Danio rerio: one gene and its partners. The protein of the gene in region 1 binds, or shares a complex with, the protein of each later gene. Links are inferred from orthologs where the notes say so. Each region holds a gene or a part of one and is shown in the gene's direction. Other genes may lie near its edges.

Region 1 (4,100 bases):
CATAACTGAGCTTGAACTAAGCCAGATGTGTTTTTGTGTCATGACTGCAATGAAATGGATAAATCAATGAATCGTTGCGTTTTAGGTGTGCTAAAGGCGTGCTTTTTCTCAAAGCAACCTGAATGGTAGAATTGTTTTCCTTATTTGAAATGAATAAAAATGTATTTTAAATGTGGGTCAAGATGTAGGCCAACTTTGCTGTATGCTGTGTGCCTTGCAGATTTCAACTGCAGAGTCTGCATCCAGACCATAGACCTGATCCAGACTCTCAAAGTGTAAAACCCTGTTTAAGCACTAGATGGCACAATTTTTTCTTTCTGTAAAAATATATGTTATTTTTAACTCGAAAGAATGAAAGTAAAGTAAAGTAAAGTAAAGTAAAAAAAGTAAAAAAAAAAAAAAAAAAAACTATTTAAAAAGTAATAAAAAAGTAATAAATGCGAAAATAAGAAAGAAAAAGGGAAAATAAATAAATATAGCAGTAGACCTACATAAAAGTCTTTCCCAAGGACAAATTCATTGTCTACAGCGACTTATGATGTTCAGCGGTGGAATTACACATGAAAACTTTCTCATGGCTACAAAATATGCTACATTTTGCCTTTTTTATTTGCATGATGTACAAAAATATTATATTATTATATTATACTATATATATATATATATATATATATATATATATATATATATATATATATATATATATATATATATATATATATATATATATATATATATATATATAATTTTTTTTAATTCCATAGCTTCCGAGAATTGTGTTAAATCATTTATTTAAATCATAAAAATGGATTAGTTATATGCATAAATATAATACTATATAAAATAATGTAATATAAAAATAACTCAATCAATTTTCGTTAATATCTAAAACATCTGAAATTCTTAAAAAATTCTTTAAAATAATATAAATATCTAAGTATCTCATGTATTTGTAAGATTTTGGTAAATTCGATTCCTAAGCGTACTTACAATTGCATACTGCATTAGAGTGTAAACCAGCTCTAAACTAGTAATCATCATATTATTTAAATATTTTATTATTTTGATTCTTTAGTTGGATATTTATTTTATTTTATTTTATTTTATTTTATTTTATTTTATTTTATTTTATTTTATTTTATTTTATTTTATTTTATTTTTATTTTATTTTTATTTACGTCTCGACTGGTCTCTAACGCGCAATGATGAGCTCTCGCGAGATCTCCTTCGAGCAACGACTCCTGTGTCGGCGTTGCGCAGACGCAGTGCTGTTTTAAACATTTTCCACGGACTAGCCTCTATCGCTAATAAAGAAACAATGGCGACAGCGGCGACTGCAGCGGGCGGAACGGGCTCCGGAGGACCATCTGCCGGCCAAACGGGCGCCGGTTCCTCGATCGGACGTAAAAAAGACGGAGGGCCATCTTCCAAGTATTGGGAGAGCTCGGAAACGGTGTCCCAGTTGGAGACAGTTCGCTTGTGGATCGGGAAACATTATAAGAAGGTCTGCTGCTCATGAGGCGCCCGTTGAATGGGGGCGCGCGCATCACACAATAGCTACAAGAAGCGGCACGCGCGATTTCTTGTTGTTTATTCGCAATTATTGTCGGTTGTTTGACAGGGTCGAACCAGAGCAGTCGTGCAGATTGTGTTCAGCATCCGTACTGGCGTTTTAGTCGGCAAGTTTAGCTGTTGTGTTGTTTTAAGCGGCAGTGTTGTGGGTTGTTGAGTTAGCTCGCGCGCTAACGTTGCTGACTGAGATCTGCCATGATGAGGATATGTCTTAAAATCTGCTTAACTGCCGTGTTTATGTTCGTCTTATTTGTACTTGCTTTATTAAAACTGTGTCTTCCATTCGTTCTTAATGTATTTAGCACCACAATGTATCAGTTGTTTATGCAGAAGTTTGTTTACTGAACCTTTAAAGGGATAGTTCACCCAATAATGAAAATTCTGACATCCTTTACTCACCACTTGTTTCAAACCTTTATGATTTTCTCTCTTCAGTAAACCACGTAAGAAGATATTTCGAAGAATTCTAAAAACCTGTGACAATTGACTTCCATGGTATTTGTTTTTACTACTATGAAAGTGAATGCTTACAGGTTCTTAAAAGTAATTATCATCTTTGGTGTTCAGCAGAAGAAACTTACAAAGGTTTGGAACCAATTGAGCGTGAGTGAATATAAATTTTGGGCGAACTATCTAATATTGTTTTAACAGAAGTGCCATGGAACAGTGATTATGTAAATCTCATAAATATATAGCTGTGTATTTACCTGTGAAAGTATTTCATCTTGGTATTTACAAGGTGATTCAAGTTGTCACAAATGACACAGTGTTCACTTAGATTCAAGATTACTTGTATAGCGCTTACAATTATCTTCCCAAAGTAGCTTCACAAAAGGCATTACAGTTAAAATCAGAATAGTTAATGAGTTGTGTAAACAGTTGGCAGTGTATAAACATGGTTAACATGCAGTTATATGGTGATTTATTTTTTACAAAATAATCAATATTTACATTAATAATAAGGATGATAATAATACATGTTCGATGAAGTGTACTTGTGTCTTAAGTCTTTGTTGTCGTTGAAGATCTCTGATGGTTGGCATCATCTCTTCAAGTCCTCACAGGATTGGCATCTCTTTTCATGTCTTTGATCTGATCGAGTGGCACTCCACAATCTAGAAATAGAGAACAAAGAAAATAATTTGCATAGATGCTATTTATAATTTATTTGCTCAAGATATTACTGTAATGTGAAAGAACGCATTTGAAGAGTTCAATTTAACTGTCCTACAGTTATGTGATGCACTGTTTAAATGCTTTACTAAAAAAGATTTACAATGGCATTATGTTTAGTTGAATTATTTAGTTTTGATGTGTACCTAAAGCTAAAACATGCTTGTTTATTTAAGTCATAATTGTTCATTAGATCATTTAATTACTTCACTGTGTTATCCAAGAATTGCAGAAGCATGTATTGACTGGAGATAGTATGTTTTACATGTATTGTTACTTCCAGGTGTAATGATTTCACTGGAAAAGTCAAATGCTTTGTTTCTTAGTTGAATTGCTTGTGTTTAATAGGACTTGTTTTTTTCTGCAGCATGTCCAGACTGACTCTCCTACAAGCAAAACATTGGCTGCACTGGTGGTGCAATTGCTGCAGTTTCAAGAGGATGCATTTGGACGTAGAGTCAGCAATCCTGCCCTCACCAAACTACCTGTAAGTCTGGATTTGCAGTATTGTTTTAGCTTTCAGTAAGTGTTGTCATCTGTAGTATAATAATATTAGCTCCTTATCTTATAAAGCTTTTGCATTACAACCACTTCAAAACAAAGCAAAAGATGAACACAGACACAAATGCACAGTAATATCAATACCAGATTTCTCTTAAAGTTTAATTTTTAATTCATTCAGTAACTGTAGGTAACAAAAGATGACTAGCTGTGTTTGCCTGAAACAACAAAGAGTTAGATCACAGCACCCAAATGTTTGATGACTTGTTATTAAAGAATAACACAACTTGAAATGTCACAACTAGGACTGTACAATTAATCGCAATCACAAAAAAATCGTGATTTAAGCGCATGCAATTTTTAATCTATTAATTTATTTAGATTTTTATACAGAATACGTTCTTGTGTGCATGATTTTAATGTTAACCAATCAGCTGACATTGTGCACCACGCAAATACAGCTAAGCTGAGCTGGAGAAAGATGTTAACCAGCTCACTCCGCACACAACGAAGTTGAGCGTGAGGAAAGAACATAAAATACGGGTGCAGGTCAGAATAAAAGTTATTTGGTGCCAAAGAGAAATTCAACATCAGTTGTTTGGGAGAATTTAAGATTCAGGAGAGACAATGTGTCACAGAGCAAGGTCATTTGTAAGACTTGTGAAACGTTTTTTACGGCAAAACTGAGCAATCCTACAAATCTGTTCCAACACTTAAAACAGCGTCATAAAAAACTGTATGATCAATGCATGTCGACAAACTCTATCGTAACAAATAAATGCACACATCAAAACCAGCCCAAACAGACTGAACAAGTATTCATTGGTTAAGCATTTGCAAGCGTTGTGCCTTAT
Region 2 (4,284 bases), on another chromosome or scaffold:
TAAGCAACCTGGATACAATTTTTGGAAGAAAGCCCCTTCATTAAACTGGTTAATGTTTTCATTGGCACACATTAAGGCAGAAATTAATTAACCCAGACTCGTGGCCCATTTTAAGTTCTTTTATATTGCAGCTATAACTGGCTTCATTCTGTAGCTGCTATGATGCTATAATTTTTTACAGATGAGCTTTCAGGGCATTAGGATGAGATCAGATCTTAAGATGTCAAATTAGTGCTGTATTTTCATGGTGGTGGTCGCTATAAGTGTTTTTAAGAATCAAAGTATAATGCAGTTTTATTATTATATATCTATAAAAATAATTAAACAGGCATATTCTGATCAAGAATTGGTTAATGACATTTAAAATAGTCTGAGCATAAGAGTGCAGCCTTAAAATATTAATTAATTGCTGATTTAAAATTTTGATACCTTGGTTTGAGGGCTTGCAAAACTTCTGGTAGCATTTCGGGCTGGCACTCTTCAGTTTTTGTCAGCCTGATTTAAATTCAAGTAGCCTGAATTGAAAATGTATTATTTACTAAATAAATAGAAATATATACATTTACACGTTTACTAAATAACAAAGTTATTATAGTGCTTTCATTATAGGCTACATATAATTATAAATTTACGTTTACATTTTTATTTTATTTTTTTGAAAATGACCATTTCATTTATTATTATTTTTTTTTTTCTTTTCATTTTGTAATTGTCCCTGAAAAACAATCATGCGACAATCTGGTAGGTCACCTGGTACCTTTATTTAAATTTTTTTAAATCAACTTTGTACCAAAGTACCGGCTATTTTGACAAAATCCATTAGTGCAAATACGAATTCAAACATTTATTGATGGTGGGACCCCAATGCATGAAAATTACATACAGCATAATTACACAATCTATGAAAGAATGCAAAAGTATTGAAATGGGCTATGTTTTTTCTCCTGTTAAGATAGCCCGACAGGCAGGATGGATTCATTTTTGGTAGCTTGACTGGAAAACATAATAACCAATGAATGTCAGGCTAGCAGTTTTGCAGCAAGCCCTCCTAACGTCTCTCTAGGATTTGTCAGCAGAAAAGTGTTAATGATTTAAAATGAAAGAATTTAACCACAGCATCTTTTTTTAATACATTTAAATAAATGTGAGAGTTCAGGTATTTTATTTAAATTTGACTATACCTTATATTGAAGTTACCACTTTTAATTACATTAATTTACTTTCAATGCTTAATGACGGATACACTTTTATGCAGACACTAAATCACCATACATGAAAAGCGTGAGCTTATAAGAAAGTTTTTTTTCTTGTAAGTCATTAGTAAATCAAAATATTTCTATTTGTGTTAAACATGTAATTCATTTATGCATTTTAAGAAATGTTAATCATGGCTAAGTTCTGGAATAAAATGAATGTGTTTTTCCAGGCTTTCTGAGAATCCAGAACACTGTGTTTCTGCCTCTCACTTCTGGCTCTGCTGAGAGATGTCCACTCCTGACCCACCCATGGGCGGGACCCCTCGGCCGGGACCTTCCCCAGGCCCTGGGCCGTCTCCTGGGGCCATGTTAGGGCCTAGTCCTGGACCCTCACCTGGCTCTGCCCATGGCATGATGGGCCCCAGCCCTGGGCCCCCCTCTTCGGGACACCCTCTACCTCCACAGGGCCCCTCAGGTTACCCGCAGGACAACATGCACCAGATGCACAAGGTATTAATGGCTTTTATCAATAGCACTTGTATAAAAAGTTTGGTTTTTAATGTAATTAAAAAATGAAAAGAAAACTTTTCATGCTCATTAAGGCTAGATATGTTTATCAAAAATATTGTAAAAAGAAAACTTGCAAAATATTATTAGTATTTTAAATAATTGAATGTAAAAATGTAATTCATTTCTCTGATTCAAAGCTGAATTTACATCATCATTTTCTTTCAGTCTCCAGTGTCACATGATCCTTCAAACATGTATGCCCTATACCACCTTGGTTTATTAAAAAGCCTTCTAATATAATGCAGTGATGCACCTTTCTCTGTACTAAAAAAGGCAAATGTTTATCAGAAAGAATTTATAAATACACTATGCAATCTACATCTTTTGTACCAGTGTTTGCAGATGGTTCAAACTCAGATGGACGCGTATCTGCTGCATCAGTGATGGGTTCAGAGTGTTTTAAAAAAAAAAGTATTGCCGGATAAAGCTCTATATTCACAGCTGAAGCTTGTGCACTGTTTGTAGCTTTGGAACAAATAGAAAAAGAACAGTAACGCCAGTTTTTAATTTGCACAGATTCTATATCCTGCACACAAGCACTTGAATCTATGAAAACCGATCATCCTATGATTTTTAGCATAATAGAAAATGTCAATGTGGACCTTTTAAAGGAAAAAGACTTTGATATAATTTTTTTTGCTGTATATCTGGTCATAAGGGATTCATTGGAAATGAACGTGGAGATAAAACAGCTAAGGAAGCCCTACAGTTGAAGTTGAAAGTAACAAACCTTTGTCTGATGTTAAACCTGCTTTAAATCTGAATATTAATACGGAATGGTGAATGGAATGAATGTAGAAAGAACAACAATTTGTATTAAGTTAGTCCATTTGAAAATAAAATAAATAATTAGCATTTTGAAAGTACACATGGTCAGGCTGTACACATGAGATGCAGAATCGGACACTCATGACTCACACACTTGTATTTATCGAAAGGGGAAGAAAAACCTATCTATGACTTGTGTAAGAATATTTTTATGTTAAAACATATTTCAGTAGAATGTGTGTTTTTAAATGATATTAGAGAACATTTTTATTCAGGAGATATTTTAAGGGAAATGTTTATTTATTTGAATTAATACAATATTTATATTTAATTAGACTAAAATATTGTATATGACTCTTAATGTGTTTTTTGTTCAATGTATGTTTAAGAAACTGATACGATTGTTATATTTTATTTATTTAGTATAGGTTTTGCCATGAATATAGCCAATACTACTGATATGTCATTAAAATATAATTAAATCATGATCCTTCAGAAATCATTATAATAATATGACAATGTGCTGTTCTATTATGATCAATTATTATTGCTACTTGGTCTTTAAGGATTCTTACAATAATCAATTTTGAAAACTTATTGCATCACATAAGAAATCTGTGATGGGTTCAGCTTTTTAGGATTCTTTGTTGAAAGGAAAGTTAAAAATAACAGCATTTTTCTCTTTTTGCATTAAATATTACTTCTGTTCCTGAACAATTTAATGTGTTCTTGATTAATAAAAGTAATTAAAGGCATATTATAATACTTTTGAATGGTGTGTATGAATGTTTTGTAAGGAGACCCAGAAGGGATGTGATGGTGGAAGGAATGGATGGGAGAAAAAAAAATGGAGAGATAGGAAAGTATATATGTTTTAAGTTTTTGTGTTTCCTTGCAAAACTGTTTTAACAAACACTTTCTGTTCACTTCATACATGTCAACCCTCCAGTTTTTGCTGGGATTGATTCTCCCGTATTTTATCATTCTATCCCGCTATAATCCTATCATTAAGTATTTTTCCGTATTTCTCCCATATGTTTGATCTTGAAAGCACGTTAATTAATATAAAAACGTCTGCTTTCACTTTCTTTCCATTAAAGCTGTGCATCAATCATACGCAAATTCTGAATCAGTGAATGCATATATAAGGGCTGACTGATGGATGTATGATAATCTGATCCCAGATCAGCTTCTGTACATTTCATTTAAAATGACACCTCTGTTATCAAACAAGTTAGGAGCAACAAATAAATCTCTGGTTTTGTTTTAGGGGGGTTGACATGTATGAAGTAAACAGGAAGTGTTTGTGGAACAACATGTTTGTGAGGTAATGCAAAAATAATAAAGATAAACGCAAAAACTTAAAAAATATATCTCCCTATCGCTGTTTTTTTTCTCCAATTCATATATATAATAATATATATATTAAATGTTTTCTGAGCAGCAGATCTAATTCTAATATGATGAGGGATCATGTGACACTAAAGAGTGAATTAATGATTCAGAAAATCAGGATGAAATGCGTGTAATGTTATATTTAATAAGAAAGTAGTCACACTAAATTGTATTAATATTTCACAACTGCCACTATATTTTCCATCAAACAAATATTATCTTGTGAGCAGAATAGGCTTCTTTTAGTAGTGTAGATCTGTTAGTTCAGTGTTGATTTTCCTTTCTGCTGTTCGGTCATCATCTTTGAGTCATGCTGTATTTTGTGTTTTTCTGAAGCCCATGGAGGGCATGCATG
Region 3 (3,500 bases), on another chromosome or scaffold:
GACTCGTGATCCAAAGACGACTTGCCATATATAAACAACGGCTCCAACTAAATTATTTATTAACATAAGATTACCAGCAAAACAATACCAAATGATAAGAGATGGGGAGCTCAACAACATAATAAATAACCAGCAAATAAACTTAAAGCAGATTGGAACTCCCGACACCAAACAAATATTAAAAGGAAAGTATAAACGAGAACACGACTATAAAGCTGTCAAAAACTGTGGTTGCGCAATAGCTTGGTGGTTAGCGCGCTGACAAATGGTGCAGTAGCTCGTCAGGGCGTCCAGAGTTTGAATCCCGGCTCGAGGACATTTCCCTACCCTACCCCCTTTTTCTCTCTCTCTCTCCAACTTCGCTTCCTGTCTCAATACTGTCCTATCTAATAATGGCATAAAGGCCAAAATAAATCTTTGAAAAAAACTGATGGCATGGAGGAATGAGGGATCGCGAGAAGTCTGCTTCTGTCCGTTTTAAAGGCCTGACGCTGCCAAATTAACCATTAGAAAACTGAAAGGGGCAAAAAGACAAACAAGATCAATTGAAAGTAATGGAACAAAGACTTTTATAATCGTGACATGACACATCGTGAATGTGGAGATTTTATGCATGCTTATAACAACTGTCATTTAGTGTCGTTCGCTCTGTTATGACATTTTAAATGCACAGGTGATGTGCAAAATACATCACAACCTGTTTTTGTCATGACAACTTGACAGAGTCTATGTTTTTTACCTTATTTTTATTTAACTTTATTTTTACCTTAATTCAGAATGTTTTTTGCTATTTATGCACATTATATATAAAAATAAAGAGCGTAGCTCTGCTTTTAAACAAAAATACAACATTTTTAACAAAAAAAAAAAAACAGCATTTTCATTTTCCAGATTATTTATGTGTCTGCTAATATGACTAATGCTTAAAGCATTTTAGTCTGTTTTAAGCAAAAATAATCCCTGCAATATTTTACAGACTGTTTATTAACTGTTTGTCAGATCTTTAAGTAATAGTTGTCTTTCTGGATTGTTTGTTTCAGCTTCAGCTGGATCCGGTTGATTTCCGAACAACGCATCTGATGTTTCACACCATCACCAAATGCTTATTGTCACGGGATCGTTTTCTCAAAATGAGGGGTGAGTGTTTTAAAGCAAACATTTGTGCAGTCAGAACTGCTGTTTTCCTTTTGGAATTGCTTAAAGGGATAGTTCACCCAAACGACTTGCCCACTATTTACTTGCTTCAAGCCTATAGAGATTAAAAGGCACCTATTATGCATAAATCCCTTTTATAAATGGTTTAAACGCAGTTGTGTAGAAGCAGTCTGTGAAAATAACCGGCTTCCAATGATCAACATTTATTATTTTTAGATTTTATAATCACTCTTGATGAAAACAGTCTGCAGAAACACTTTGATTGACATTCTCCCTTTGTACGTGTCATCAAAGGGGGAAGCCTTTAGTGACCATCTCCCTCATTAGCATAGAATGTTAGTCTTGTTTTTGAGTCTGCCACTATACTGATGCACATGCATTTATAGCTCCGCCCTCTTTTGAAAAAATCTGATTTGAATTTAAAGAGACGGTCACAAAAGTGGCACAATTAGGTTCAAAGCCTAAAAGGGGCAGTTTCTAAAGTTATAAAACATTATTAGTGTGGTATTTGAGCTGACACATAAGACTCTCTAGGGACATCAGAGACTTACTTTACATTTTGTAAAAAGGGACATAACAGAAGAAACACATGAAGATATTCTGATGAAACTAGAAATCTGTAACCATTGACATCTATAGTGTTTGTTTTTCTTACTATGGATGTCAATGGTTACAAGTTTCCATCATTCATCAATATAAATAATTTGTGTTCAGCAGAATAAAGAAACACCTAAGGTTTATAACCACTTGAGGGAGATTAAATAGTGATTACAACTTCATTTTTGAGTGAACTATCCCTTTAAGATGTTCATTGCATCCTACAGCCATGGAAATCCTGGGGAACCTGAGCAAAGTGGAGGATAACGGTGTGCTGATCTGCGAGTATGTGGATCAGGAGTCATACCGAGAAATCATTGCTCTTCTGACGCTGCCGGACGTCATGCTGGTCATCTCTGCGCTGGAGGTCCTGTATCAGCTGGCTGAGCTCGGAGAGATAACCTGCTCCAAAATCTCCTCCGTGGAGAGAAGCATAGGTTTGTGTTCAGCTAAAAAATTCAGTCTGCCGCTAGCTGCGTTTCCATCCACCTATTTTTATGCACATTTTGGAATATGGGAAATAAAATGCCAAGATGCACATAAATTGTCAAAATGTGCATAAAAAACTATGTATATTATATCATAATATATTAAATAAGATTAAATCAGATTAAAATATATTATATTATTTTAAATTATATTATTATATTATATTAAATTATATTATTTTAAATTATATTATTATTATCATTATTATATTATATTAAATTATATAAAACTATATTATAATAAATTATATTATTATTATATTTAATTATATTATTATATAAAATTATATTAAATTAAATTATATTAAAGTATTTCATATTATATTAAATTACATTATAAATTATATTTAAATTATATTATTATTATATTTAATTATATTATATTAAATTAAATTATATTATAATAAAGTTTATTATTATTATATAAAATTATATTAAATTAAATTATATTGTATTATAACAAATTATATTATTATTATATTTAATTATATTATATTAAATTAAATTATATTATAATAAAGTTTATTATTATTATTATTATTATTATTATTATATAAAATTATATTAAATTAAATTATATCATATATTATAATAAATTATATTATTATTATTATATTAAAATAATTTTATATTATATAATGTTATTATATTATACTATATAACAGGAAAGCGAATAATTTTGACTACTTTTTAACTGTAGGTCAATATTATGATAATACTATATATCTTGATAAAAGCTTCAGGAATTAATTGCAACAAGAACATTTGATACTACCAGAACCAAGTGAACTGATCAGTTTTTCACATGTGAAGATCTTTTAGTACGGCTGGTCTCGGTGGACCTGCAGACATTCGGACCGGATGCACTGACGGCAGTGAAACTGATCGAGCATCAGGCCTCCAGCTCTCAGGTGTCCGAGGTTCGACCGCAGCTCGTAGAGCATGTTCCTGCAGCTACGCAAGGCACTCCTGCTGCTGGTGAGTCGACTGTGTACACTTGCTACTTCTGTACAACCGGGTTATTCAACATAATGCATGCACATGTCAGAAGGATTGATATATATGGTGGCAGAGAGAGCTTAACGTGCTGCAACTTACGAAAACTCATGCAATAACCAAGAAATGCCTGCAAAGTAAGCGAAGATCCTTACTATTTTGACTGTATGTGTGTTGCGAATCATCACAATGTCACATGCACAGAACACAACAGAAATAGACCCAAAAATGTGGCAATTACCAGCACTGAAAATAATACTATAT
Region 4 (4,072 bases), on another chromosome or scaffold:
CTTCTCTGTTTCACTGACTTGGTTTGTTTACTAAAAATACATTATTAAAACATTCACATTACTTCTTCTTCTACCTCGAGTTGAGCTTCAAACATGCTGACGTCGCCAAAATTGTGATGTCAGGACAAAACCAGCGAAATTCCAGAGCTCACTATATCAGCATTATTCTAATGTGCAAAGAATGTATTGAATGATTAACCAGGATTGAGCATCACTGAACATTAGTGCAGCTCCTATCCACTGAAACCGAGAGATGAGGAAGTGCCATCACCCATAGCTTGTAATATGCAAAAATAGTTTGAAAGCAAGTGGCAGCAACATTCACAGTGAATGGGGAATGGCATGTAACCATAGCAACGCAAAATTCATATTAATAATATGTTATGCAAGAAAGCTGCTAGCATATCGCTGCAAGAATGAGCTCTGAAGGTTTGGTCATGCAGTTAATTCGATTATTTGTGTCAATGTGTTGTTATTATTGTATTATGAAGCGACATTTGCAGTTAATTCAACCAACGCCATGCTACGATTCTCTCCTAACGAAAGAATATGAGATATCGAGTCTGCTGCAGAATGAAAGCTGGATATAAAGCAGAGAAATAAAGCCACAGTCAGATAACACAGCAGAGAAAGCAGCTGTCAGACATTCTTTATAGCTGCGCTAAGCTTTCATGACTTCCTGTTAGGGGTCTATCGGTCTTATTATCATGTCACTCGAAATAAAAGCTCGACAAGACAAACGTCGCGTGTTAGCGTTGCGGACGTACCCCTGTTCCGTTATCACAAACCACCACTTTTCTTCCTTGGCTGTCCATCTTTCAGAGACCCAGAGGAGCCGTCAGAGGAAGCCGAACTTTCTCAACAAAGTGCTTCTAGCACTCAAACAGCAGCGCAGGGTTTCACTTCCTGTTCCAGACAGTTGCGCGAGAAGACAAGCCTGTTTTTTTTACACAAGCCCCGCCTCCTACGCTGTTTTTTTTTTATAATTGACAAATTTTATTAAATAAAAAAACATTTAAAATGTCTTATCAATTAATTAAAAATAAAAATAATAAAAATAATAAATTTTTAAATTTAATACAAAACATAATTTTAAAATAAATGTAAAACATTTTAAATAGTTTGTAATTAAAATAAACCTTGTCCCAAAAAGTTACCAAAATAGACGTGCAATTAAATAATATTTAGTTTTCAATTTTTTGTTTTTAGAGATAGGAACACTTTGTCGCGTTCCCATTGTGCTAGTTTCCAGCCGGAATGTGACGCCCTTTCATTCGCAGAATAACAACATGGCAGCTGTTCTATCGCCGAGACCGTGCGATAGCAATCCTGCAACTCCTGGGACCCAGTCTATAAAGGTTTGTGATGTTTACTTACTACTTTTTCTTAGCAGAAGCTGCAGATATATCACTCTAGCAATGTAAAACTGTACTTACACCTGTACAGTTTCAGCGTGAGTGTGACGTACATTCGCCTTTGTTTGTTTACCATTAGCCTGTTAACGTTAGCCGAGGTAGCTGAACAGGCCATGCATTTCGAGTAATATTTCGTAAATTGATTAACACAGAAAAGTGGACCCGCAATGACTTATCTAGATGGTTTTGAACAGTCGTTTTTAGTTTATTGGCATGGTATAAACAATCACTGGCCACTTTATTAGGTACACCTTATTTGTACCTGGTTGGACCCCCTTATGCCTTCAGAACTGCCTTAATCCTTCGTGGCATAAATTCAACAAGGTACTGGAAATATTCCTCAGAAATTTTAGTTAATGTTGACATGATAGCATCACACAGTTGCTGCACATTTGTCAGCTGCTTATCCATGATGTGAATTTCCCGTTCCACCACATCCCAAAGGTGCTCTGTTGGATTTAGATATGGTGTCTGTGGAGGCCATTTGAGTACAGTGCACTCATTGTCGTGTTAGTCTGAGGTGATTCACACTTTATGACATGGCACGTCATCCTGCTGGAAGTAGCCATCAGAATATGGATACACTGTGGTGCATGTCAAAATTAGCCACTGAACAAATGTGCGAATATTAAACTTGACCTCAATTTATTTAATGTTAGCCTGCGAATACAGAAATCTATGTGACAGACTTTCTCTTCAAACAGGATGACATTGAGGAGAACTCCAGTGATGGGAGTCAAGCCCCCAAGAGGCGCAGGATGGGCTCAGGAGACAGTTCCAGGAGCTGTGACACTTCCACCCATGAGCTCGGGTCAGCACAATACACACACACACACACACACACACACACACACACCAGTTACAGGTGTTTTTTTTCTGACACTGGTCTGTAAATTCCCTTCAAAATAATTTATGTAAATAGACGTTCTCTCAAAAGTGAACTTATTTAATATAATATGATATATTTAGGATTTTAGCAATTCCATGCAGAGATTAGGTTTACGCCAAATTAGTGAAGACCTTTCAGTACTGTACAAATACACAAAATGTCTGTAAAATGTAAAATTCAAACAGTATTTTTTGTTTATTGTTTTCAATATTGCATCTATAGCGCATGTTTATTTTTCACATTTAAAGTATAAAATAGCTTTCTGCCAACCCGACTCTACACCATAACTTTTCAATCCAGATGGATGGGGCAACCATTACTGCATCCAAAATGGTGAAAAGCATTGGAGTAACGATTGAGGACCAACTAAACTTCTCTGACCCCATTTCTAGAACTGCTCGATCGTGCAGATTCGCACTCTATAACATCAGAAAGATCCGACTCTTCCTATCTGAACATGCAGCTCAACTCCTTATTCAAGCTCTTGTTCTCTCCAAACTGGATTACTGCAACTCTCTATTAGCGGGGCTTCTAGCTGACTCTATCAAGCCTCTTCAGCTGCTCCAGAACGCAGCAGCATGAGTGGTCTTTAATGAACCTAAAAGAGCACATGTCACTCCGCTGCTCATCCGTTTGCACTGGCTGCCAGTTGCTGCTCGCATCAAATTCAAAGCTCTGATGTTTGCTTACAAAGCGATTTCTGGCTTTGCTCCTTCTTATCTGCTCTCACTTCTGCAGATCTATGTGCCCTCCAGAAACTTGCGTTCTGTGAATGAACGTCGCCTCATGGTTCCATCCCAAAGAGGGAAGAAATCACTTTCCCGAACTCTCGCATTCAATCTGCCCAGTTGGTGGAATGAACTCCCTAACTGCATCAGAACGGCAGAGTCACTCGCTGTTTTCAAAAAACGAGTAAAAACTCAACTATTTAGTCTCCACTTTACTTCCTAATCTGCAATTGCCTCTCTGGATATACCACTAACTGTACTCAAAAAAAAAAAAAAAAAACTTTACTAATACTTTCCTTCTTAGACTTTACAGACTTACTTATTCATTGTTGCTCTTATAGTTGTGTAAATTGCTTCCTTGTCCTCATTTGTAAATCGCTTTGGATAAAAGCGTCTGCTAAATGACTAAATGTAAATGTAAGCTTACAGTTTGATATTTTAATCTCTTAACTCTGTGGATAGTTGTTTTGAAAAAGATGTTTTGATATACTGTTATGATGTATATTCTCTGTGAATTTAAGCTTAAATTTTCCTGCAAATGTCACCCCCATAAGGCTGAAATTCCTCACTTGTGTTTCTGTTTAGAGACATTTTATCTTAAGAATATTAACTTAAACGTCTTGTGAAGTGCTCTGAAATAAGCATTTATATTCAATGTTTGACGTAATCTCATCAGAAACACAAAGAAACGCAAAAAAGTGTGGCACACAGCCGGGGTATCTGTAGGGTTTAAAAAGACTTACAATCTCTTTAATTTCAAAAACAACATTTTAGGTCTTAAAAAGTCTTAAATTCACTGAAGTATTGTGCTGTAGCTCTTAAATCTTTTTTAACAAATTAAACATTTTCTATGTCCATGTAAAGCTACCCAATAGGGCTAACACCCATCCAATCACCAACTTTCCATCTCAATACATTTTTTTTTACAAATGATTATTTATCTCTATATACCAATATGGTTTCATTATCTTCCTTAAAATAGCATTTGTTTATATCTAATCTAGATATAGTCTAATCTAATAGTCAAAGCTGAAAACGTT
Region 5 (3,500 bases), on another chromosome or scaffold:
TTTTAGCTCCAACCCTAATCAGACACACCTGAACAAGCTAATCAAGGTCTTGCTAGGTATACTTGAAACATCCAGGCAGGTGTGTTGAGGCAAGTTGGAGCTAAACCCTGCAGGTACACCAGCTCCTCAGGACCAAGATTGGTGACCCCTGGCTTAGATGTTTGGTAAATTAAATTAAAAAACATATGAAGAGTTTAGATGCAAAAACCTCTAAAGGCCGTTTTCTACTGAAAATAACGATTTTCTCCGACTCCTATGTGCAGGCTCTGTAATTTTACTGTTAAAATGATGAATGAGTTATTTTCATTGACTTAAACGAGAATATAAACATAGAAGGCTGGAAAAAATGCTCATTTTAGCAGAACATGGCATTTAGAGGTTTTTGAATCTGAACCCTTCATATATATGTCATGATAGGTGTCAATGTGGTGCAGTGGTTAGCATGATCGCCTCACAGCAAGAAGGTCGCTGGTTCTAGCCCTAGGGGGGTCAGTTTGCATTTCTGTGTGTCTCTGTGTTTGTATGTTTTCCCTGTGTTAGCATGGATTTTCTCCAGGTGTTCCGGTTTCCCCCACAAGTCCAAAGACATGCGCTATTGGTGAATAGGGTAGGCTAAATTGGCCGTGCTGTATGAGTGTGAAAGAGTGGGTATGTTTCCAAATGTTGGGTTGTGGCTGGAAAGGCATCCACTGCATAAAACATATGCTGGATAAGTTGGTGGTTCATTTTGCTGTGGCGACCCCAGATTAATAAAGGGACTAAGCCGAAGGAAAATTAATGAATATCATGTAAAACAATTACATGTTCTAAAAGTGTTTTCCTTTGTGTTATGCCTTAAAAATAACATTATGAACTGTAAGAAAACCAGAACTAAATGGATATTTTATTTTATTTTTTTGCCAAGAAATTTCCGATGGAGGAGTTATGGAAATTTTAGGTTGTTTTTTATACAATGATGGAATACGTCAGATAAGGCTGTAATGCATATTCTCTTGGCAAATTGCTTTTTATGTTTATAGATGTTTTTTTATGTTGTTTTTGTGATACAACAATGTTGTACATATTTCTTTATACTTATAATCAGAAAAAAACAACAACGAACAAACAGTTTTTCCATTAATTTAATAGGCCGACTGAACCAAGAGAACTAAACTACAAGCATGAAAACATTCTAAAACCAAGCAGCTTACTGTTGGTATCATATTTGTGACCAACATGTGCTGTTCATGAGCAAGTTTTCTGTCGGGAATATTTTCTCCCTCTTGTGAAGCTTCCATATATCCACTCAAAGTATTATGTCACCAAGTAGTGGCAATCATGACTGCATACCTTAAAATGTGTGCACATAAAAATACAAAACGCAAAAACTAGAGAATAGGGATGCACTGACAAATTTTTAGTCCGTTATCGATAACCGATAACTCTTAAGATTTGGATGTCCATAACTGATATTAGCCGATAAATATAAATATTTTTCTAAATATTATTTATAACTATTTACTAAATGTTATAAATATTGCAAGGTGATTAGACTTATATTCACCATTTCACATAAATCATTCATTCATTCAGTTTCTTTTCGGCTTAGTCCCTTTATTAATCAGGGTCGCCACAATGGAATGAACTGCCAACTTATCCAGCATATGTTTTACGCAGCGGATGCCCTTCCAGCTGCAGTCTAACACTGGGAAACACCCATACACTCTTTCATTCACACATACACTACATCTATTTTAGCTTATTCAGTTCACCCATATCGCATGCTTTTGGACTGTGTGGGAAACCGGAGCACCCGGAGGAAACCCACGCAAATATGGTTAGAACATGCAAACTCCACACAGAAATACAAACTGACTCAGCCGGGGCTCGAACCAGTGACCTTCTTGCTGTGAGACGATCTTGCTACCTACTGTGCCACCTCGACACCCCTCACAGAAATCAGCATACCAAAAATAAATCATTTCCTTTTCTTTATAGCAAATGAACATGCAACTTGACTGTTGCATAAAAATAATAGATTAAATGACAAAATTGGATTTAAATAACAGACAAGTAAAATATATAATTTAAATAAAATTAAAATAAATGTAAAAAAAATTAAGAACTAAAACCAGCTCAAATATTCTTAAATAAAACATGTTACAGTAATGTACATATGTCCAAATATGTAATGTCCGGAAAAGCGCTCTGAGAGATGTTTTGATAGTTCAAAGCCACTGTACAAGCGAAAAGCTTAATACAGATAGTATTATTTTAGAAAATGCGGCATAAATTTGTCCCATTTGGAGTTTTAGATTCATTTGAACATGTAGCTGCTGCTTGTCAATCAGACAACACTTCTATGTTCATGCTTTGTCAATTGCTGGAATAATGATCATTGAAAGGTTTTTGATAAACCTTCAGATTTATCATAGTCAAATTTGTCCTCTGAGTCACATTTTGACACCACACCTGAGCACTGATAACTTAATGACAAACACAGTGCATTATATAGAGACTTGTAAAATTATATAGAATTTGGTTGAGAACCACTATGCTGGATTCATGTCTATGTCGGCTCACTATGTGTGTGTGCGCCGTGCTGATAGCCATCATGTGCGCTCGTTTTAATCATTACAAATATGCAGATCAAACTGTATACAGTCTTACATCAACAACAAATTGCAAGCAATGCGTTGCTAATAACAAATAATTAAAATATATTACAAACAACCCAACGAGTTGTTTAGCATGTGTGCATCGCTGCTATTATGCTTACATATGTAATATTTTTTCTGTGGTGTTTTAAACCAAAATACATAATTACACTCAGTCAAATAATCTGCAATGATAAGGAATATGGTTACTTACTGAGATGTTAATGCACAGCAATACCACACAAAGAAAGGACGGGCTTTGAAGAAATTCTTAATGTGAGGAAAGCTCGTTATAGTGCACTCAAAATGTCTGAACAAGTTCAACCCACGCATGTGTGAGGCAGGCAGTTCAGTACAATTACATAATTTATTGGCATAAAGATATCAGCCTAATTTTGAGACCGGACCGATAACATAAAAAAAAAAAATAAAAAATCTATCGGCCGATAACAATATAGCCGCCAAGATATATTGTGAATCCATACTAGAGAATCAAAGCAAAAGAAAAACTGATAAATTCGACAGCACGTCGCATCATTTCTACAGAATACATCTTTTCCTCTTTTGCTTTTTAGGATACATGTCGCCTCACCCTTCACCGATGGGCCAGGTGCCGGAGCATGTGCCTAGCCCCATGTCAGGAGGAGGGCCGACCCCGCCACAAATGTCCCAGGGTCAGTCGCCCATGATGCCAATGGATCCGCAGGGGATGGGACAGCAGGCCAGGGGTCAGTCTGCCTTCAGCCCAGTCCAGCTACAGCAACTCAGGGCTCAGATCCTGGCGTACAAGATTCTGGGACGAGGCCAACCTCTGCCTGAAAACCTACAGTTAGCTGTGCAGGGCAAGAGGAGCCTTCCCACCAT
Region 6 (3,500 bases), on another chromosome or scaffold:
TTCACAGCCTTTGCGGTGAAGCTCTAAATTGAGCTCAGGTACATTCTGTCTCCACTGATCATTCTTGAGATGTTTCAGCAGCTTAATTGAGTTCACCTGTGGTAAATTCAGTTGACTGGACATGATTTGAAAAGGCATACACCTGTCTATATAAGGTCCCAGGGTTGACAGTGCATGTCAAAGCACAAACCAAGCATGAAGACAAAGGAATTGTCTGTAGACCTCTGAGACAGGACCGTCCGGGGAAATTCCTGCTGCTCTGAAAGTTCCAATGAGCACAGCGACCTCCATCATCTATAAGTGGAAGATGTTTGGAACCACCAGGACTCTTCCTATAGCTGGCCGGCCATCTAAGCTGAGTGATCGGAGGAGAAAGGCCTTAGTCAGGGAGGTGATCAATAACCCGATGGTCACTCTGTCTGAGCTCCAGCGTTCTTCTGTGGAGAGAGGAGAACCTTACAGAAGGACAACCATCTGTGCAGCAGTCCACCAATCAGGCCTGTATGGTAGAGTGGCCAGACAGAAGCCACTCAACGCCTGGAATTTGCCAAAAGGCATCTAAAGGACTCTCAGACCATAAGAAACAAAACTCTCTGGTCTGATGAGACTAATATTGAACTCTTGAATGCCAGGCGTTACGTTTGGAGAAAAGCAGGTATCGCTCATCACCAGGCTAATACCATTCCTACAGTGAAGCATGGTGGTGGCAGCATTATGCTGTGGGGATGTTTTTCAGCAGCAGGAACTGGAAGACTAATCAGGATAGAGGGAAAGATGAATGCAGCAAGGTACAGAGACATCCTGCATGAAAACCTGCTTTAGAGTGCTCTTGACCTCAGATTGGGACGACGGTTCATCTTCCAGCAGGACAATGGACCAAAGCACACCGCCAAAATACCAATGGAGTGGCTTCACAACAACTCAGTGAATGTCCTTAAGTGGCCCAACCAGAGCCCAGACCTAAATCCTATTGAACATCTCTGGAGAGATCTGAAAATGGCTGTACACCGTCGCTTTCCATCCAACCTGATAGAGCTTGAGAGGTACTGCGAAGAGGAATGGGCACAAATTCCCAAAGACAGGTGTGCCAAGCTTGTGGCATCATATTCAAAAAGACTTGAGGCTGTAATCGCTGCCAAAGGTGCATCAACAAAGTAGTGAGCAACGGCTGTGAATACTGATGTACATCTGATTTTTCAGCTTTTTTACTTGTAATAAATGTGCAACAATTTCAAAAACTCTTTTCTCACACTGTCATTATGGGGTATTGTATGTAGAATGTTAAAAAAATGAATTTAACCTATATTTTTATAAGGCTGTAGCATAAAAAATGTGGAAAAAGTGAAGCACCATCAATACTTTCCGGATGCACTGTACAGTACAACAAAAAATAGATATCATGACAGGCCTATTTGTGCGTACTCATGGCTAGTGAATGAGACCCAATATTTTTTACTTATCTAAAGAAATGCTTCTTGATTTAAGCATTTTTGATGATTTTTGGACTAAATACAAGACAATAACTAAAAGTAAGAAAAGTGTAGATTTAGTGGATTGACCCAAATATGAAGTAGTTCACCCCAAAACAAGGAAATGTACAGTCCTATTTAATCTTTGAGTCTTTCCAAATCTGTGTGCTCTTACTTTTATCTGTGGAACTTGAAAGGTGAATCTCGGCAACTGCTTTGTTGGCAACAACATTTTAATAATTAATAATTGGTGATGTTCGTAGTGGAAGCTGCGATTTGATAGTTGAAAACATGTAAAAGCCATGACATCTAACCTTAGTAGACATGTAGATTCTACTACTGTCTCATTTATGAGAAGACAGACTACAAACAATGCAGGAATCTGTTTCTTTCCCCATGTGTATTAATCCTTTAACTCTCTCTCTCTGCGGATTCTGCATGTGTTGCTTGGCAGCTGAAAGAAAGAAGAAATGAAAATAAGTGTACTAACAACTTACCATTGAACCCTTTACATTTTGTTTGTGTTTTTGTTCTTATGTGTTTTTTTCGTCCATAGGCCAGCCGGGTATCAAGGTGGCTCCCACATGCTTGGAATGGGTCCCGGAGGGCCTTACAGCCTTCCACCGAGCAATAGCTCTGCCAGGATGACCCCTCAAGGTCCCTCCTACAACACAATGCCCACAGGTAGGATTTAAAATACAATATTTAAAAGGGTCCTATTATACCTTTTTTATATGTAATTTATTTTTTGTGTAATGTTGCTTTTAAAGCATACATAAAAAACAAAAAAACAGTGTATAGTCGATGTAGTTTCTCGAACTCTGTCGGAAATCTGTAGTCTGAACCACATTAGTTAAAATGCAAAGCTTGTGGAGTAACAACTTCTTTAGATAAAGTAATTAAATCTTTATATACTAAAGTACTAAATCTTGATATGATTGTTTTATATATATATATATATATATATATATATATATATATATATATATATATATATATATATATATATATTTTTTTTTTTTATATTTTTTTTTTATTATTTTTAATTCAATCTTAGTTTATAACTGCATCTGCAAATGCTGTGTTCTTGACTTATAACCACTTTTATAATGTGCTTAATAATTGTACTTTCATAATTTGTGACTGGTTGATTTTTCATTACTGCATTATTTTTACAAACCATTTGTATTTACGAGTAGTTGGAGGTTTTTAAGAGCATTCAGAATGAGTTAGTAAATGATTAATGAACTATTGAAATTGATGTTTATATATCTTATTATTCAGGCACATACTAATGGACACTATGTATGTTAATAAATGCTTTACTTCTTGCAGTTTTGTGACCTATAATCTGATAATGGCAAATGTCTGATTTTACCAGTGAATAAAATTGTCTAATATGACAGATTGCATGCCTATATCTCAAACATAATAATTCAACATCAGAGTTATTATGAGTAGAATAGAATTATTTATAGAAGTCAGTAGACCCACACATAATATTATTATCGATGTTGTGCCATATGTTTGTCTTTACCTTTATTTTACATCTACAGAATCGTGAGAAAATCGTGATCTTTATTTTAAGCAAAAAAATCGCTATTCTCATTTTAGCCAGAATCGTGCAGCTCTAACGTACGCCAGATTTCACGCTCATGTTTGGATTTACTAACGATGAAATGAACGTGAGAATGTGCGTTGGTCCACGCCAACTTCATGGAGAATCAGAACAGAATCGCCAAACTATGTTTGTAATGATGAAATTTGCAATCTTAGTTGGCTAATATTGGTAATGCACCCCTGATTGAGTAAAATACCATAAAGTAATGACATTATAACGGTATTATTTAAATCTAAAATTTAATTCAGAAAGTGTGAGATTATAGATTTGGCAGCATTTATTGAGGAAAAAAAGTGCTTAATGCGGTTCAGCTTGAGATCAGTTACAGTATACAGTGTCTTTGTTTGGAGGCTGTTGATGAGATGTTGTGCACATCTCTGGATGGTGCAGGACTAAGGGTCTGAATCTCC
Region 7 (3,500 bases), on another chromosome or scaffold:
CTTGTTCTGAACGAGTAAATGATGATTAATTGTTCATTTTTGGGTGAGCTATCCCATTAGGTCAAACCCCTTATCGTTTCTGTAGAAGTACACTATTTTTATTTGTAAAACTGAATTCTTTGTCACAGACTGAAACCATAAATTGTTTTAGATTTTTATCTTGTATATTATCATTATTATTGTTGTTCATTTATTTTTATCTTGTGTATTATTTACTGCTGGTGATGACTTCTAATTGCTATAATATTTTTATAATCATATGCCAATGCCATGACATAGCCAAAGAAGCTGATATGGCAATAAACTCAATTTCTTTCTCTTATCACAGACCGCTGTGTCCAAGTATGAAGCCACCAAGCAGAAGAGGAAGTTTTCTTCTTTTTTCAAGTCTTTAGTGATCGAGTTGGACAAAGACTTGTATGGACCTGACAATCATTTGGTTGAGGTGAGAATCAGAAATTGTGTTTCTCAAGTATAGTACTTTAAACTTAGTTTATTGCTGTGCTGTCCAGTAGATCCTCACTGCTGTCACTTATGTGCCATTTCTCACATCTTTGTCTTCATTACAGTGGCACAGAACAGCCACAACTCAGGAGACAGATGGATTTCAGGTCAAGAGGCCTGGGGATGTTGGGGTCCGCTGTACTGTACTGCTCATGCTGGACTACCAGGTAAACTTCAATTATAGTTGTGCACATGGTGTGTTTATTAGCATTTTTGTTCAAAAATCACCAGCAGATGGCGCCACCTCTTCTTGAGACATGCTTGAACTGGATATTATTTAGATTAAATGTGACTGATGGACGAAATCATTCTCTTTCTAGCCCCCTCAGTATAAGCTGGACCCCCGCCTGGCCCGGCTGCTGGGGATTCACACTCAGACCCGGCCTGTGATCATTCAGGCTTTGTGGCAGTATGTGAAGACCCACAAACTCCAGGACCCTCATGAACGAGAGTTCATCAACTGTGACAAATACCTCCAGCAGGTAACGAATGTCATGGACTTTATTTATGGGAACTAGTGAATGAAGACTTAAACTGGAAATACCCGTTTAGACAGAAGTGGTGACGTCTGACAATTATAAACTTCTTTAGTTGATAATTAAAGACTAGTAAAAAATTTCAGTATTATCAGAAAAAAACTACTGTGAAACTAAACTTTAAAATATTTGATCCTGAACGGCTATAGTTCAACTTAATTCATTTAATAATTGGCACTTCTACTTGGTGTAGGTCTTTGAAACAAACTCCTTTTACAATTCTTCTCATTCTAGATGTTTGAAATCCATTAATTGACTTATTTTATTTTAGATCTTCGTTTTAAGTTTTAATTCTTATTATAGATCGTACAACCAATAATAGATAGTTCTAGATTTTTGACAGCGGTTGGTTCTTCTCAGTGACTACGTTTACATGGACATCAGTAATCGAGTTATTTGCCTTAGTCTATGGACTGTTTTATCCTATCACAAAACCCGGTGAGAAGTCCTACATGACGGTAATAGTTTGATTAAGGTTTTTACATGTCTGTACCGCACTTCAATAATGCGACTGAAATCGGCATACTCCACACGTCTTAATTCTATTTCTCTTTAGTTCAATTAAGACCTTAATCGGATTAAATTAATCAAAAATCGCTTTTAACTTTTAATCGCATTAAAATCGAATTATTGGTGTCCATGTAAGCGTACTGAGTGTAAATATTGTTGGTTCTGATTATTATTATTATTATTTAAATATTTGCAAAACCCATTGTCAGTTCTTCTTATTCTAAAGGTTTTAAATTCAATTTACTTTTTTTTTTAAATTCCTCAGAACTTGTAAACAATAATAGCTGGCTGTTTTTTCTGGATTTTTGTAACCTTGTAATTGTTCTTCTCATTGTCAGTCTTACAATTCCAGAAGTTGTTTTATTTCTGCTTGTTCTGATTTTTTTTTAATTTTTTAAGTTTAACAATTTATACCATGTGGTTTTAATGCTTTGAAACAAACCCTGTAATTGTCAGTTCTTTTTCCAGATGTTATAAATCCAATAATCAACAGGTGGTTCTTTCTAGATACCTTATACTAGATGGACCTGATAATTGTCTGTTCTTCCAAATGTAGATCTTTAAAATCCAGTAGTTTCGTGTCTTCGTGTGTAATTTGAACCTATTAACACTTGTTTTTCTCAATGTAGATTTTTGAAACCCAGAGGATGAAGTTCTCTGAGATCCCTCAGCGGCTGCATGCCCTACTGATGCCTCCAGAACCAATCATCATCAACCACGTCATCAGGTACCCACTGATAACATGTTAGTCAGAATCACTATCTTTCCTTATCTGCTACGTCATCTAAACTGCTGTTTACTTCTTAGCGTTGATCCCAATGACCAGAAGAAGACTGCATGCTATGATATTGACGTGGAAGTGGACGACACCCTGAAGACCCAGATGAACTCTTTCCTGCTTTCCACGGCCAGTCAGCAGGAGATTGCAGGCCTCGACAACAAGGTTCGAAAGTTTCACCATGTTCGGAAAGTTATGTCTTTGTTCTGGCTGAATAAACAGTCCTCAAAGTGTTTGGCGAGCCGTCACAGGGGGAAAGCGTTACTTTTTTCTGCTCTTTTGTTTTGTGGCTTGGTCTGCTGCATATCAAAGTGACTCTTGGCAGTGGTCTGAATGTTTGAGCAGATTTGTTTTGTATATACAAGAGGTGTGGTGCAGGAGAAAGGGTTCTGCTTTCCATCATGTTTTGTCATTGTTTTTTAAAGTGTCCTAATATTGTGTTTGAGTCCCTTACAGCAGGTTTAAATGCATTTAAGTTGAGAAAATATTGTAATTTTCTCAGAATATGCCAATTATAAGAATCATTTTACAATGATTTTGATGTTTGTTTGAAAATTTAGGCTGTAAACCCCTTTCTTAAATAAGACAACTCTGCTGTCATTGGACAGCTTGCCATTAAGGCCCCGTTTACAGTAATGCATTTTAGTTTTAAAACGCATAAGTTTTGCTACGGTTAAGCCATCCATCCACACTACGCCGGAGTTCTCGAGCGCCGAAAACTGAGCGTTTTGAAAACGCTGGAGAGGCCGTTTTCATTCTAAAAAGCTGCTGCTCCATTTCAGTGTGGATGAGGAAAAACGGAGACATCTGAAAACGGAGGCGGGGCTGCTGAGATTCGCTACCTGATTGAGGCTTTTGTGTCATTGCGTATCCTTCCCTCCTTCGTCAAGTTTCTATCACATGACTATAACACATGGCTTTAATGCTACTGGAAGTTAGTACTGAAAACAACAACATGGACACAGAAATGGGAGCGTTGTTTGCACTATTGTCTGTTTTAGGCGCCACTGTGCAGTTATTCATTTGTTACGTTCGGTAACAACTCGACCTCGTCGTCTGTCCACAAAAATACCTCTCTTGCTTTCTTTGCCCGACGCGTTTAATGTACAACCGGCGTTTGTTGACTAACAATAACCAAATGCCGAGCGAGACGCATGCTTTCTGTTTATACT

The links.
Region 2: smarcc1a (region 1) and smarca4a share a complex: the UniProt entries of both Homo sapiens proteins name them as parts of the BAF complex. The link is inferred for Danio rerio from reciprocal best matches to the Homo sapiens genes SMARCC1 and SMARCA4.
Region 3: smarcc1a (region 1) and arid2 share a complex: the UniProt entries of both Homo sapiens proteins name them as parts of the SWI/SNF-B (PBAF) chromatin remodeling complex. The link is inferred for Danio rerio from reciprocal best matches to the Homo sapiens genes SMARCC1 and ARID2.
Region 4: smarcc1a (region 1) and phf10 share a complex: the UniProt entries of both Homo sapiens proteins name them as parts of the neural progenitors-specific chromatin remodeling complex. The link is inferred for Danio rerio from reciprocal best matches to the Homo sapiens genes SMARCC1 and PHF10.
Region 5: smarcc1a (region 1) and smarca2 share a complex: the UniProt entries of both Homo sapiens proteins name them as parts of the BAF complex. The link is inferred for Danio rerio from reciprocal best matches to the Homo sapiens genes SMARCC1 and SMARCA2.
Region 6: smarcc1a (region 1) and arid1b share a complex: the UniProt entries of both Homo sapiens proteins name them as parts of the neuron-specific chromatin remodeling complex. The link is inferred for Danio rerio from reciprocal best matches to the Homo sapiens genes SMARCC1 and ARID1B.
Region 7: smarcc1a (region 1) and smarcd1 share a complex: the UniProt entries of both Homo sapiens proteins name them as parts of the BAF complex. The link is inferred for Danio rerio from reciprocal best matches to the Homo sapiens genes SMARCC1 and SMARCD1.

What each region holds. Positions count from the first base shown.
Region 1 is NC_133191.1:46,885,164-46,889,263, reverse strand, and holds the start of smarcc1a (SWI/SNF complex subunit SMARCC1), read left to right. Parts: upstream 1-1,300; 5' UTR 1,301-1,318; coding exon 1,319-1,504; intron 1,505-3,112; coding exon 3,113-3,232; intron 3,233-4,100. UniProt on the Homo sapiens protein: Involved in transcriptional activation and repression of select genes by chromatin remodeling (alteration of DNA-nucleosome topology).
Region 2 is NC_133178.1:18,032,094-18,036,377, forward strand, and holds the start of smarca4a (SWI/SNF related BAF chromatin remodeling complex subunit ATPase 4a), read left to right. Parts: upstream 1-1,484; coding exon 1,485-1,706; intron 1,707-4,265; coding exon 4,266-4,284. UniProt on the Homo sapiens protein: ATPase involved in transcriptional activation and repression of select genes by chromatin remodeling (alteration of DNA-nucleosome topology).
Region 3 is NC_133179.1:1,986,170-1,989,669, reverse strand, and holds part of arid2 (AT-rich interactive domain-containing protein 2), read left to right. Parts: intron 1-1,040; coding exon 1,041-1,137; intron 1,138-1,979; coding exon 1,980-2,189; intron 2,190-3,053; coding exon 3,054-3,218; intron 3,219-3,500. UniProt on the Homo sapiens protein: Involved in transcriptional activation and repression of select genes by chromatin remodeling (alteration of DNA-nucleosome topology). Required for the stability of the SWI/SNF chromatin remodeling complex SWI/SNF-B (PBAF).
Region 4 is NC_133188.1:6,008,459-6,012,530, forward strand, and holds the start of phf10 (PHD finger protein 10), read left to right. Parts: upstream 1-1,272; 5' UTR 1,273-1,289; coding exon 1,290-1,358; intron 1,359-2,119; coding exon 2,120-2,226; intron 2,227-4,072. Other genes in the region: actr2b (actin-related protein 2-B), read right to left, coding at 768-815. UniProt on the Homo sapiens protein: Involved in transcription activity regulation by chromatin remodeling. Belongs to the neural progenitors-specific chromatin remodeling complex (npBAF complex) and is required for the proliferation of neural progenitors.
Region 5 is NC_133180.1:46,027,891-46,031,390, forward strand, and holds part of smarca2 (probable global transcription activator SNF2L2), read left to right. Parts: intron 1-3,211; coding exon 3,212-3,500. UniProt on the Homo sapiens protein: ATPase involved in transcriptional activation and repression of select genes by chromatin remodeling (alteration of DNA-nucleosome topology).
Region 6 is NC_133195.1:5,081,288-5,084,787, reverse strand, and holds part of arid1b (AT-rich interactive domain-containing protein 1B), read left to right. Parts: intron 1-2,025; coding exon 2,026-2,153; intron 2,154-3,500. UniProt on the Homo sapiens protein: Involved in transcriptional activation and repression of select genes by chromatin remodeling (alteration of DNA-nucleosome topology).
Region 7 is NC_133197.1:7,406,996-7,410,495, reverse strand, and holds part of smarcd1 (SWI/SNF-related matrix-associated actin-dependent regulator of chromatin subfamily D member 1), read left to right. Parts: intron 1-36; exon of another isoform or gene 37-87; intron 88-328; coding exon 329-445; intron 446-569; coding exon 570-671; intron 672-824; coding exon 825-986; intron 987-2,179; coding exon 2,180-2,277; intron 2,278-2,357; coding exon 2,358-2,493; exon of another isoform or gene 2,494-3,500. UniProt on the Homo sapiens protein: Involved in transcriptional activation and repression of select genes by chromatin remodeling (alteration of DNA-nucleosome topology).